Linked DNA regions of Coturnix japonica. The main gene of each other region encodes a partner of the protein of the gene in region 2 in a complex. Links are inferred from orthologs where the notes say so. Each region holds a gene or a part of one and is shown on either strand. Other genes may lie near its edges.

Region 1 (3,644 bases), on a different chromosome or scaffold from region 2:
AGCAGGCGCATCACCGCCGCAAACATCCGCTGCCGGCTCCTCATCCCTGCTGCTCCGAACCTGCGGGGAAGGGGCTGGATGTGGGCAGATGCTGGGTGTGGGCAGATGCTGGGTGTGGGCAGATGCTGGGTGTGGGCAGATGCTGGATGTGGGCAGATGCTGGATGTGGGCAGATGCTGGGTGTGGGCAGGCCAGGTGTCAGGCTGCACGGCGGGGCAGGGCTCCTTCACCCTGCGCAGGATGCGGAGCAGAAGCGGGTGGCGCTGAGCCCAAAGGGATGCTGCGCTCCCGAGCTCTGTGTGCGGAGGGGGGACACGGGGCTGTCAGGCTCCGCGCCTGACCTCGGGTGCTCCCTGCTCCCATCTCGTCTTTCCCACAGGGGAGGGGGTTGGGGAGCGACACGGAGAGTCTGACTCAGAGGAAACTGGAGACGGTGAGGGCACATGGGGCGAAGAGCTCATTCCAGGGCAGGGAACGCTCCAAACCCACGGGGATCCCCTCAGCAGCCTTTGCTAATGGATTCGGGAGTGAGGGAGCCCGCACAAAACACGTGCCCTGTTCCTCACACCCAGCAGCACCTGGACGGCTCTTCCTTTTGCCTCAGCCCCGGACCAAGCTGCAGAGCCCATCGCACACCGACCCCAGCAGCTCCCCGGACAGTGCCACGCTGCGCTGTGCCAGGCCGAGCTGCGGGCACTCGGACAGCAGAGGGACGCACCGAGCCCTCGTCCTCCCGCTGAGCCTCTTATCCCACCCGAGGGCCGCGATGGGAGCGAGGAGGAACCCGAGCCGGGCCCGAAATGAGGCAAACGATCCGCCGGGTCAGGGCCCCCGGGCCATCAATATTAACGGCACGGCCGGCCCGGGATGCGGCCAAGGCACGAACCGAGCGCTCCGCTCGGCACCGCGCCAGGCAGCGGCACGGCCCAGCGCCAACACACGGCCCGGGAACACAGAGCGAGCGGCCGGCACACGGCGGGACCGGCACAACCGGCACAACCGGCACACGGCGGGACCGGGACACAGCGGTACCGGCACGGCCGCACGGCGGGTGATGAGCTCCCGCTCCCGGTGACCCCGTGCTGGGCTCAGGGCTGCCCTCGGCCGTGCCAGCCGGTCACGCCGCCCCAAGGCCGCGGGCCCGCCCCGCTCCGTGCCCCGCTCCCCGCCCCGCCGCACCCATCCCGTTCCCGTTCCCGTTCCCGCTCGCACCTGCCGCCCGCTCCCCGCCGCCCGCCGCCATGCCCGGTTCCCGCCGCCCTCACGGCACCGGGCAGCGCCCGCCGCCCCGCGCCTGCGCACTGAGCACAGCGGGCAGGGCCGGCACGAGGCGCCGCACTACGACTCCCAGCGGGCCGCGCGACACCGCCGCTCCCTGAGGTTAAAAGAGAACCAATAGGTATGCCGCTTACATCGCGGCCCCGTCGCTGAGAGCCAATAGGAGGAGGGTTCTTTGCGGGCTCACGCGCGACGCTGAACATGGCGCCACCAGCTCGGTACTGCGTGCCCGGTAAGTGCGGGGCGGGCGGCGGGGGGGGACGGGCCGGTAAGTGCGGGACCGGTGCTGAGCGAGCGACCCGCAGGAGAACGGCTGTGCGGAGCGGACGGAAACGCGGCGGGGAGCGGCACCTACGTGCGGAACGGCAACATCTTCGCTGCGCTGAGCGGATGCGTGCGGCGCTGCGAGCGGGACGGGGCGGTGAGAGCACGGCGGGGAACGGGAAACGGGGCGGGACCGGGCTGAGACCGGGTGTGTGTGTGTGTCTATGTGTGTGTGTGTGTGTCTGTGTGTGTGTCTGTGTGTCTATCCATCTGTCTGTGCCCCGCAGCTGCCCGTGGTGTCGGTGGTGCGGGATGCAGAGGCGCAGCTGCTGCCCGACGTGGGCTCCGTGGTGACGTGTAAGGTGGGTGCCGCTGTCCCCACGTGTCCCCGCGGCCGGGGCCGTGTGCTCGGCTCACGGAGCTCCGGACGGACGGCGGCGGACACTCAAGGAGCCGCCCGGCCCGGCCCGGCCCACGCTGCGCGGGCGCTGAGTGCCCGCCGCCCGTTGGTGCAGGTGTGCAGCATCAACTCCCGGTTTGCCAAAGTGAACATCCTGTACGTTGGCTCCACGCCGCTGAAATCCACCTTCCGTGGCACCATACGGTAGGGAAAGGGCAGGGGGCACACTGCGCGGTGCCTGCCTGCTGCGAGGACAGCTGCGTGGATGCATCTAGCGAGGCCTGGCTGCCGTCCAGGGAGGCCGGGGCAGCTCCTCCTGGCTCTCTCTGGTATCACATTCCTGTGTCTGCTTTTCTAGGAGGGAAGACATTCGAGCTACTGAAAAGGATAAGGTCAGCGGGGCACTGCTGGGTACAGTGCTGTTACAGCTTCCCCCTGTCCAGCTCCCCTCGTGCTGCTGCCCATGGGGTGCCTATCGAGCAGTACCTGCGCTCTCCATGCACTCCTGTCCACTCCCTCCCACGTAGGTAGAAGTCTACAAGAGTTTCCGCCCCGGTGACATAGTCCTGGCCAAAGTCGTATCCTTTCCCATCGCAGTGGGAGGGCCCACGGGCCTGGAGGGTTTGTGCTGGGCTATAGAGGCAGGGAGTCTTTCCCTTAACACAAACCTAACCAGATCTCGCTGGGGGATGCACAGTCCAACTACCTGCTGAGCACGGCAGAGAACGAGCTGGGTGTGGTGGTGGCACGCAGCGACGCAGGTAGGAATCCTCATCTCCATGTGAGGAACAGCCAGTGCAGCATGGGGAGCAAACACCCTCCTTTCCTCCCACTGCTGAGCCTCAGGGGCTGCACGAGGAGGCTTTGGGCTGCTGGGGCTGGGCAGTGTGACAAAGCAGGAAGGGATCTGCTAACTGAGGATGCCTGCAGGGGTGCAGATGGTGCCTATCAGCTGGTGTGAGATGCAGTGCCCACAGACGCACACCAAGGACTTCCGTAAGGTGGCCCGTGTGCAGCCTCAGTTCCTGCAGACATAGCAGCCTCCTCAGGGGTACAGGGACCCCAGGAAAGAGAGCTGCTATGGTGGGGTCCAGCATCTTCCATACAGCAGGATGGGTTTTGTATTTGTGCTGTAAGTAATAAATAAACGTGGTTTTTTTGAGAGCTCTGTGTTCTGCTCAGTCACTGCCCGCAGGGGTTGCTCTGGCTGCCTGTAGCCCTTCTGCTCTGGAGCTGCTGGAGGGGGCTGTTTCTCCCATCAGTGTGGGAGTGAGAAAGTCTGTTCCTGTCCTGGGGAGCAGCGAGGCTTTGAGGCTTAGTGGTACATAGCACCATCTATGGCTGCTGTGCTCATCCCCAGGATGGCTTATCACCTCAGGCCATACATGCCCTTTGTTAGGCAGAGGTGTGGCACAGCCCAGAGCCCATAAAGCACTGCAGTGAATCACTCTTTGCAGCGAGGATTGCAGAACTGTGCTTTGCTGTGCAGTCTGAGCACCTTCTGCACCCACAAGTCAGCAGCAACTTGCGCATCACAGACACGTGGTGGTGCAGGAAATGCGGTGCTAGGCAAAGTGGGAGCTCCACGTGGCGCAGTGGCACAAGGAAACGCTGACATTTAATTATTGCATATTCATCTTTTATTGAACTGGAACAAGACAACTGCTACCGCTGGACAGTTAGATTGACCCAGTGCAAGCCC
Region 2 (4,287 bases):
AAAGAAAAAAAAAGGCAATTGATACTACAAAGCTGAAATGATGTTTCTGAACATTCAGCACAGCTAAGACAGTAAAATAAACTGCTGCTGTTACTCAGACACTAAGCAGGTTAGGGCAGTGAAGGTTCACATTTCAGATCTGATTAGGTTTTTTATTTCAAATGTGAGAAGCAAAGTGTATATGCATACTGCTCCATTACCTTTTCTTCTACTATACTAACCAGTCAACAAAGAATTCCAGATAACCTTCATCTGGTTTCTCTAACTTCGGTGTCCCCATTTCAGCTTTTACACCAACCAAGATATCAGTGTGTCCCTGTTAAAACAAAAATACATCACACAGTTAGAACTATGGGCAAAATACACTCAGTTGAGATGCCTACAGCATGCAGACACTACCATCTATTCTGTTGTCTTTGCTAATTGCTCTACTAGAGAATTGCAGAACAGAAAGGCTTTAGGAGAACAATTCTGTGCCCACATATCAGCTTTCTTTGTGTATATAAGACAATCTTAATAGCCATACCTTTTTATCATTGCAGTTCTGGATCAGTTATTTCTGCAGAATGTTTATAATACCGCCAAAAAATAATTGTTTTCTTTACAGTCAACACATGCCAGAAGTAGTTTTGCTTCACTGTAAAGGAGCAGAATTATTTTTTCCAGTGACAGGCACAACAGCATCTAACACCCAATAGCAGATTAGTTCAGACTGAAGGCCTTTCAGGCACTCCACTATAAATTTAGCTCAAATGCATTAAGCTAACTTGAATTATTCATATATCTTGTCATTATTTCCTCAACCTATCATGTCAATTAGAGCTAAGCACATACATACATGCATAGGTCGCTCTGAAAGTAACGTCTTCTATTTATTTCCACAGAAAATATAAGAGGTGCAAAGAGCAAAATAACATTATTTGATTGAACAGATTCTCAGCAACAAAACCTTATTAACATAGTCACCATCACTCTGCATTTTCACCACTGATGAACAAGAGACTGCATGCTGCACTCATAAAAATCTGCACCAGCAGAGGTAACCCACTGTTTCATAGCTATGACTGCACCACTGCTAGGAAAGCATTGCCTGAGCAGTCTATTTTCCATCAAGCCCAAAGAGGTGGAAGACAGAAGGCACCAAATCCACACTACACAGTGGGTGCTGTAGGACAGTCCAGACAAATTTGGCAACGTGCTCCAGGGTCCTGAAACTGGTATGGGACTTGGTGTTATCGCATTGCAAGAGAAAAGGTGTCTTCTTCTCTGCCTGACTCTGGAAGCTCAAGCCTTCAGCTTAGTCAGTGTCATGATGTAGCAGTCAGAGCTGATGGTTTGTCTGGGTTTCAGGAAATCCAAAAGGATCACTTCTTTCCTATCCCAAGAGACAGTTCACAATACTTTGCCTGCTGAAGGCTATCTCTTGAACTTTTTCTTCAATAGGGAATCACATGTCACCACTCCATGGACTGCGTTTTCTCACCGGTGCGTAGTGGTGACACCACATCTCATCATCACTACTGATGTGATCCTGGAAACTGTTGCCTTCAGCCTTGTATTGGTTCAAGAGATCCTGACAAACTTATAACTTTGAATCCCCCCTGTCGTGCAAGTGGTAGAAGTGCCGCTCTGCTACACAGGAGGCTCGAATCCCAGGGGTTGGACTCGATGATCTCTAAGGTCCCTTCCAACCCACACCAGACTGTGATACTGTGTGATATACAGTATTCTTTCTGCTCCTCTGTGAACACTTATGGGAGCCACCTGGCATGCATTTTCTGATATTCCAACATTGTCACCATCATTTCTAATGCAATGAAGCTGATATTCAGCTCTGTACACAGTTCCCTGGTCATAATCTGCTGATTTGCACAAATGAGCTGATCAAGACAGTTCATTTCATCGTATGACAGCCGTGCATGGTCATCTAGAACATGCCTTGTATTTCACAAGGTGAAATGCACCACCACACAGAATCACAGAATTACCTGGGTTGAAAGGGACCTCAAGGATCATGTAGTTCCAACCCCCCTGCCTAGCAGGGCCACCAAACATACGCCTTCACTAGATCAGGTTGCCCAGGGCCCCGCTTCACTGTGCTCACGTTCGCTGTTGGGTCTCCATCAGCATTCAGCATGCGACAATGAATGCCAACAGGGACAATCGTTTCAACACGACATAATTCAATACCACATCTTTGCATTTCCAAGTCAGACACCATTCTGTCAGACTGCACATCTGCTGTCATCAGTCACAGGGCAACACAATAGAATGAAATATTGTTGGGAAGGTTCAACCTCTACTACCACACCACCAACATCTGCTTATGATACTGTGGGCCAACATCATAAAATAGGAGGGGCTGTTTTTGGAGCAACATATTAGACACATATGAGGAGACACACATGGACGTATTTACAAGCAGCAATTATTTATCATAAGCCAAGCGAAACAAGCCAGTTTTATCAGCAATGTAGACGACTCCTGAGCCGTTCACCTACCAGCTTCACTCTCGCAGATCCACTCGTGTTGGACACCACATCTGTCTCTACTTCTGCACACCTGTAATCTTCACAGCCACGGCCATCCACACGGAGGTCCTCCTAAACACGACAACCAACGTAATCGCGAACATAAGGAACCTGTGCTTTTCAAGCTTCCCGTGCCGAATACATCACCAAAGATGACAAGCAACTATTCCCTACCTGGACGCCGTGTATGATGTACATCTTCTCCGCGTCGCTCAGCACTACGGACGCCATGACACCCCGCGCGCTGCAGAGCACTTCCGCTTCCGCTTCTCGGAAGGAGGCGAGCTCTGCGCCTGCGCACCGCCGCACTTCCGCAGGCGGGAAATGGCGCCGGTCGCCTCAGCGCCTTGTACAGGGCGGTGGGGTCGGCCCTGTGTGTGTGTGTGCCCTTAGCTGAGGTAAAAGTAACCTGAGGGTTGTGTGCCCCGGTGGCGCAGTGGTAGGAACGCCGCCTTGCAACACTGGGGCCCGGAGTTCGAATCCCCCCTGTGGCACAAGTGGTACAAGTGCCGCTCTGCTACAGAGAGGCTCGAATCCCGGGGGTTGGACTCGATGATCTCTAAGGTCCCTTCCAACCCACACGAGACTATGAGACTATGAGGGTACCCGAGTATGAAGCTGAGGTTCTCCTGGCTGTCAGACCGCGGAGAAATGCGGAGTTTTACCCGAGACATCGTGCTGGTGGTGTGGGAATGCGATTAAAGGCTCCAGTTTGACACTGCGTTGTAATTGAGGGGTGTTTATTGTGGCAGCTTCCATTAGCTCACGTTGTAGGTGCCATACGCTCAGCACGGCTCTCCTGTATGTTGGTTGGTGCGCTGAGTGGTGCCCACTAAGGGCACAGTGAGGTTTGGGATGTTAGGGGGAAGTTCTTCACCAGGAGAGTGGTTAGGCCCTGGAACAGGCTGCCCAGGGAGGTTGTGGATGCCCCGTCCTTGGAGGTGTTCAAGACCAGGTTGGATGGGGCCCTGGGCAACCTGATCTAGTAAATGTGTATGTTTGGTGGCCCTGCCAGGCAGGGGGGTTGGAACTACATGATCCTTGAGGTTCCTTCCAACCCGGGTCATTCTGTGAGGTTATGGCGCTGGTGCTGCCTGGCTCCCAGCTGCACCCACAGCGCTCAGACACAAGGAGGGGCAGCTTTCCTTCCTTCATTCCTTCCTCCATGTCTGCCATCCATCCCAGACTGGAAGCGCAGCCAGCAGCTCCTCGCTGCTCACAGGATGCGGTGTCGTTTATAACAAGGACAAAGCGATGCCTTCTGCCTCATTTTAGCCAGCTGGAAGTGGAAAAAGACCGTGATGGAGCCGCCCGGCACGCAGGGGCTCACGCTGCCCGGTGAAGCTGCAAGCAGCGCAGGCAGCGGCCGCTAAATCCGCAGGTGCCGGCTGCTGCTGCCCGGCTTTGCGGTGCCGAGGCCCGGGGCGGGGCCGCCGGCCGCCAGCCGCCACTTCCTGGTTCCTCCGTTGCCGCCCCACCTCCTCGCCGGGATCGCGTAAGGGGACGGCGCTTGGGGAGGGGGGGGGAACCGCGCTCCGCCGGGCCCAGTGCCGCGCGCGGGGCGCCCGCTCCGGCGGGGCGGATGGGAGGTGGCGGCGGGCGGCGGCCTGCGGGTAGGTGGCGGGGCAGAGCCACGGGACCGCGGGGCTACGGGTGGGGTGGGGTGAGGTAAAGGGGGATGCGGCCGGGAGCGCCTTCCAGAGCGGGCCGTGACATGGGCTGCGGGGAGGCCCACGTTGCCCTCCCTCCCCTCTTT
Region 3 (3,474 bases), on a different chromosome or scaffold from region 2:
GGTGAAGGTGCAGACAGCTCCCAACAAGGACGTGCAGAAGGAGATCACGGACCTCAGCGAGGTGAGGGTGGCAGCAGTGCTGGGACCTGGCGCTGGGTGTTATTAATGAAGCCCAAATTGATTCCTGCTTCTCTGTCTCCTCCTCTGGGGCCTCTTTGGTTACTCTCTTGGGGTTAATTGCTGGTGAATTGAAGTCTTGTGCCAACGCTCTGTAGGACACGAGCTCAGAGGTCTCAGCCCTGTGTTCTTTGGGCGCTACAACTCACACCTGAGCTTATTGGATAGCAGGGCAGGGGAGCTCAAGCCACTTTGAGGCTCATTAATGCAATGCAGCATTCCCTGCATTCTGCCATGGCCACCTCCACCTTTAACCCTCCCTTGTCTTGTTATGCAGATGCTGGCTACTGCTGTTATCCCACAGTGGCAGAAAGATGAGCTGAGAGAAGCTGTTAAAGCACTGAAGAAGGTTATGGATGACCTGGACCGTGCAAGCAAAGCTGACATCCAGAAACGAGTGAGCCCTGGCTGTGTGTGTGTGTGTATGTGGGGGGGGGGGGTCTCTTTGTGCAGGGAGCTCTGGGCTGGGTGGTTCTTGTGTCCAAGTGCATTGTGCAGACACCTGAACAGCAGTGCTGTCTGTCCTCAGGTATTGGAAAAGACAAAGCAAGTCATTGAGAGTCACCCTAACCAGCCACTAGTCATCATGGAAATGGAAAACGGAGCCTCAGCGAAGGTATGGGGAAGGTCTGATCTCTCCTTGTACCTGAGGGGCAGTTGGGTGGGCTCTGTTTGCTGTTGGAGATGGTGCTGTGAGCCAAAGGAGTCACAGTGCTGAAGGGCAGGTTTCAGTGTTGGAACAACCAAGCTGATCTGGTGCCACTTCATACCCCTGCCCTCCCTCCAGGGCTGTCCCCGTTTATGTGAGGCTCACAGCTGGGCTGAAGTGCTGCCTGGGGGTAAAGCCCAGGGGCAGGTGAGCCAATTGATGTTCCTTGTTCTTCCTCCAGGCCCTGAATGAATCACTGAAGCTCTTCAAGACTCATTCCCCCCAGACTGCCACCATGCTCTTTGCTGTGGACAACGAAGCGGGCAGGATCACCTGCCTGTGCCAGGTGCCCCAGGTCAGTCTGTGCTGCAGTGGCAGGAAGATGAATCTCATGCGATGGGGGCCGGCAGTCACTGCGGTGATTGAGAGCCACAGCTCTGTGCTTTGTGTTGTTATGGGGGATGGAGCAGGAGGGAAAGGGGCTTATATCCTTCCTCACCGCCACCAGGCTGCAGGTCGAGCTCTGTTTGTCCCTTCTTTTCCCCTCCAGGAGACAGCACAGAAGGGCCTGAAGGCCAACCAGTGGGTGCAGGAGGTCTCTGCTCTGATGGACGGCAAAGGAGGAGGGAAGGACGTCTCAGCACAAGCCACAGGCAAGAACGTGGGCTGCCTGCACGAGGCCCTGCGCCTGGCCACGGACTTTGCCAGGCTGCACCTCGGGGAGCTGAAAAACTGATGGGAACCCCACATCCCCCCTAATTACCCTTTGGTTTGCTGTATGAGCCCCGCATCCAATAAACGATAGAATCAAGAAGGCGTTGTCCCTCAGGGCTGCTGACACCCCACATCAGGGCAGCTCCTCGCCGCTCTATGGTTCCCCACGTTCCCCTCTCGGCCGCTGTACGAGCTCGGGCGCTGCGGAGCTGCCCCGCGGGGCCGAGGGCGGAGCGGAGCAGCCGGGGCTCCTCCTCCATCCGTCCCGCTTCCCCCCTCGCCATGCCGCTCGATCACCGCCGCCTGCACGGCCCGGAGGACTCGCAGCCGCCGGAGCTTTGGGCAGCGCAGCTCCGGGATGGGGATGATGAGGCTGAGCAGAGCGGGGCGGCGCCGCGGGATCCCTGCGCGCTGCGGCCGCTGTTCGCCCGCGCGGGGCTGCTGAGCCAGGCGGAGGGTTCGGCGTACGTGGAGCTGAGCGGCGGCACGAAGGTGCTGTGCGCCGCCTGGGGACCGAGGGAGGCGGCAGAGCCGGGCGGGGCGGTGGCAGCGGGGCGGCTCGTGTGCGACTTCCGACGGGCTCCGTTCTGCGCCCGCGGGGCCCGGCCCAGGCCCGGGGGGGCGGCGGAGCGGGAGGCGGAGCGGGAGGCGGCGGCGGCGCTGCGGGAGGCGCTGGAGCCGGCGGTGCGGCTGTCCCGGTACCCGCGGGCTCGGCTGGCGGTCAGCGCGCTGCTGCTGCAGGACGGGGGGTCCGCGCTGGCCGCCGCCATCAGCGCCGCGTCGCTGGCGTTGGCCGACGCCGGGGTGGAGATGTACGACCTGGCCGTGGGCTGCGCGCTGTGCCGCCCCCCGCTCCCACACGGCCACGGGTCCGCGGCGGGGCCGTGGCTGCTGCAGCCCGGGGAGGACGAGGAGCGCGGGGCCGCCGCCCGCCTGACGGTGGCGCTGCTGCCCGCCCTCAACCAGCTGTCGGCCGTGCTGGGCGGGGGGCGCGGCGGGGAGACCGAGGGCTGGGGGGCGGCGCTGCGCCTCGGCGTGGAGGGGTGTCAGCGCATCTACCCCGTGTTACGGCACTGCCTGCTGCGGGCTGCGCGCCGCCGGGACGGGGCGTGACGGCAACGGGGAGCCGCTGGAGCCGCCCTCGGTGCCACCGGAGACCCCCGGAGCTGCCCATGGTGGTGCTGGAGACCCCTCAGGCCTTACCTGGAGACACCCAGGACTGCTGCTGAGACCCAGACACCCCCAGTGCCATCCAGAACCTTCAGGGTTTGCCTGAGACCAACACAGACCCCCCTGGACTGCTTTGGATGCCACCACAGACCCCCCAGAGCTGCCCCCGGTGCTGCTGGAGACACCACAACACCCCACCACCACCCCATCCCTCAGTGACTGCCCCCGTGGTGCCCTGGGCTGGCAGAAGGGACTGTTGTGTGCTGTGTCGTTTTGAGTTTGTACAATAAAATGGGTTGTATTTTCTTTTTTCTGCTGAGTTCTGCCTGTTTGGAGCTGCTGAGACCCCCACAAAGCTCCAATATGGAGCTGACCCTCTGTGCCCCCATTCAAACACCCAAGAACCAGAGAAAAGAGATAGAAATGATGAATTGCTTGTTTTCCTTTCCAGCACAACAAACTCTTTTGCCGGAGCAAATCAGAACTACGGGTCAACTTCGGGCCAGCGAGGGGAGAACGGCCTTGAAATGGGGCACATAGACATGTAGGGAGAGGGATGGAGGCTCAACTTCCCCAGGCAGAGGTGAGCAGGGTCCCTGCTATGGTGGGGGACACCATTAAGACACCATTAGGACACCATTAAGAGAGACCCGCTGGTGCTGGGTGCCCTGTGCTGGTGGTATCATGTGTGGCCACCTGTGTCCTCACCACTGCCCAGCAGGGACAGCACTATGGCTTTGTCCGGCATGGGGAGCACATCTGGCCTGTGTTGTTATGGGATGGAGGGGTCAGTGGGATGCTTTACCCACAGGGGAGGTGAGTGG

What was found.
Region 1: EXOSC7 (region 2) and EXOSC1 share a complex: the UniProt entries of both Homo sapiens proteins name them as parts of the RNA exosome core complex. The link is inferred for Coturnix japonica from reciprocal best matches to the Homo sapiens genes EXOSC7 and EXOSC1.
Region 3: EXOSC7 (region 2) and EXOSC6 share a complex: the UniProt entries of both Homo sapiens proteins name them as parts of the RNA exosome core complex. The link is inferred for Coturnix japonica from reciprocal best matches to the Homo sapiens genes EXOSC7 and EXOSC6.

Annotation. Positions count from the first base shown.
Region 1 is NC_029521.1:19,502,212-19,505,855, forward strand, and holds EXOSC1 (exosome complex component CSL4), read left to right. Parts: upstream 1-1,479; coding exon 1,480-1,510; intron 1,511-1,583; coding exon 1,584-1,699; intron 1,700-1,829; coding exon 1,830-1,904; intron 1,905-2,057; coding exon 2,058-2,146; intron 2,147-2,300; coding exon 2,301-2,334; intron 2,335-2,469; coding exon 2,470-2,520; intron 2,521-2,618; coding exon 2,619-2,703; intron 2,704-2,872; coding exon 2,873-2,979; 3' UTR 2,980-3,106; downstream 3,107-3,644. Other genes in the region: palmitoyltransferase ZDHHC16, read right to left, coding at 1-60, 1,213-1,481. UniProt on the Homo sapiens protein: Non-catalytic component of the RNA exosome complex which has 3'->5' exoribonuclease activity and participates in a multitude of cellular RNA processing and degradation events.
Region 2 is NC_029517.1:39,619,604-39,623,890, forward strand, and holds the start of EXOSC7 (exosome complex component RRP42), read right to left. Parts: upstream 2,839-4,287; 5' UTR 2,763-2,838; coding exon 2,706-2,762; intron 2,604-2,705; coding exon 2,502-2,603; intron 317-2,501; coding exon 222-316; intron 1-221. UniProt on the Homo sapiens protein: Non-catalytic component of the RNA exosome complex which has 3'->5' exoribonuclease activity and participates in a multitude of cellular RNA processing and degradation events.
Region 3 is NC_029526.1:1,395,486-1,398,959, reverse strand, and holds EXOSC6 (exosome complex component MTR3), read left to right. Parts: upstream 1-1,615; 5' UTR 1,616-1,636; coding exon 1,637-2,593; 3' UTR 2,594-2,961; downstream 2,962-3,474. Other genes in the region: AARS1 (alanine--tRNA ligase, cytoplasmic), read left to right, coding at 1-61, 395-514, 647-733, 1,008-1,121, 1,317-1,502. UniProt on the Homo sapiens protein: Non-catalytic component of the RNA exosome complex which has 3'->5' exoribonuclease activity and participates in a multitude of cellular RNA processing and degradation events.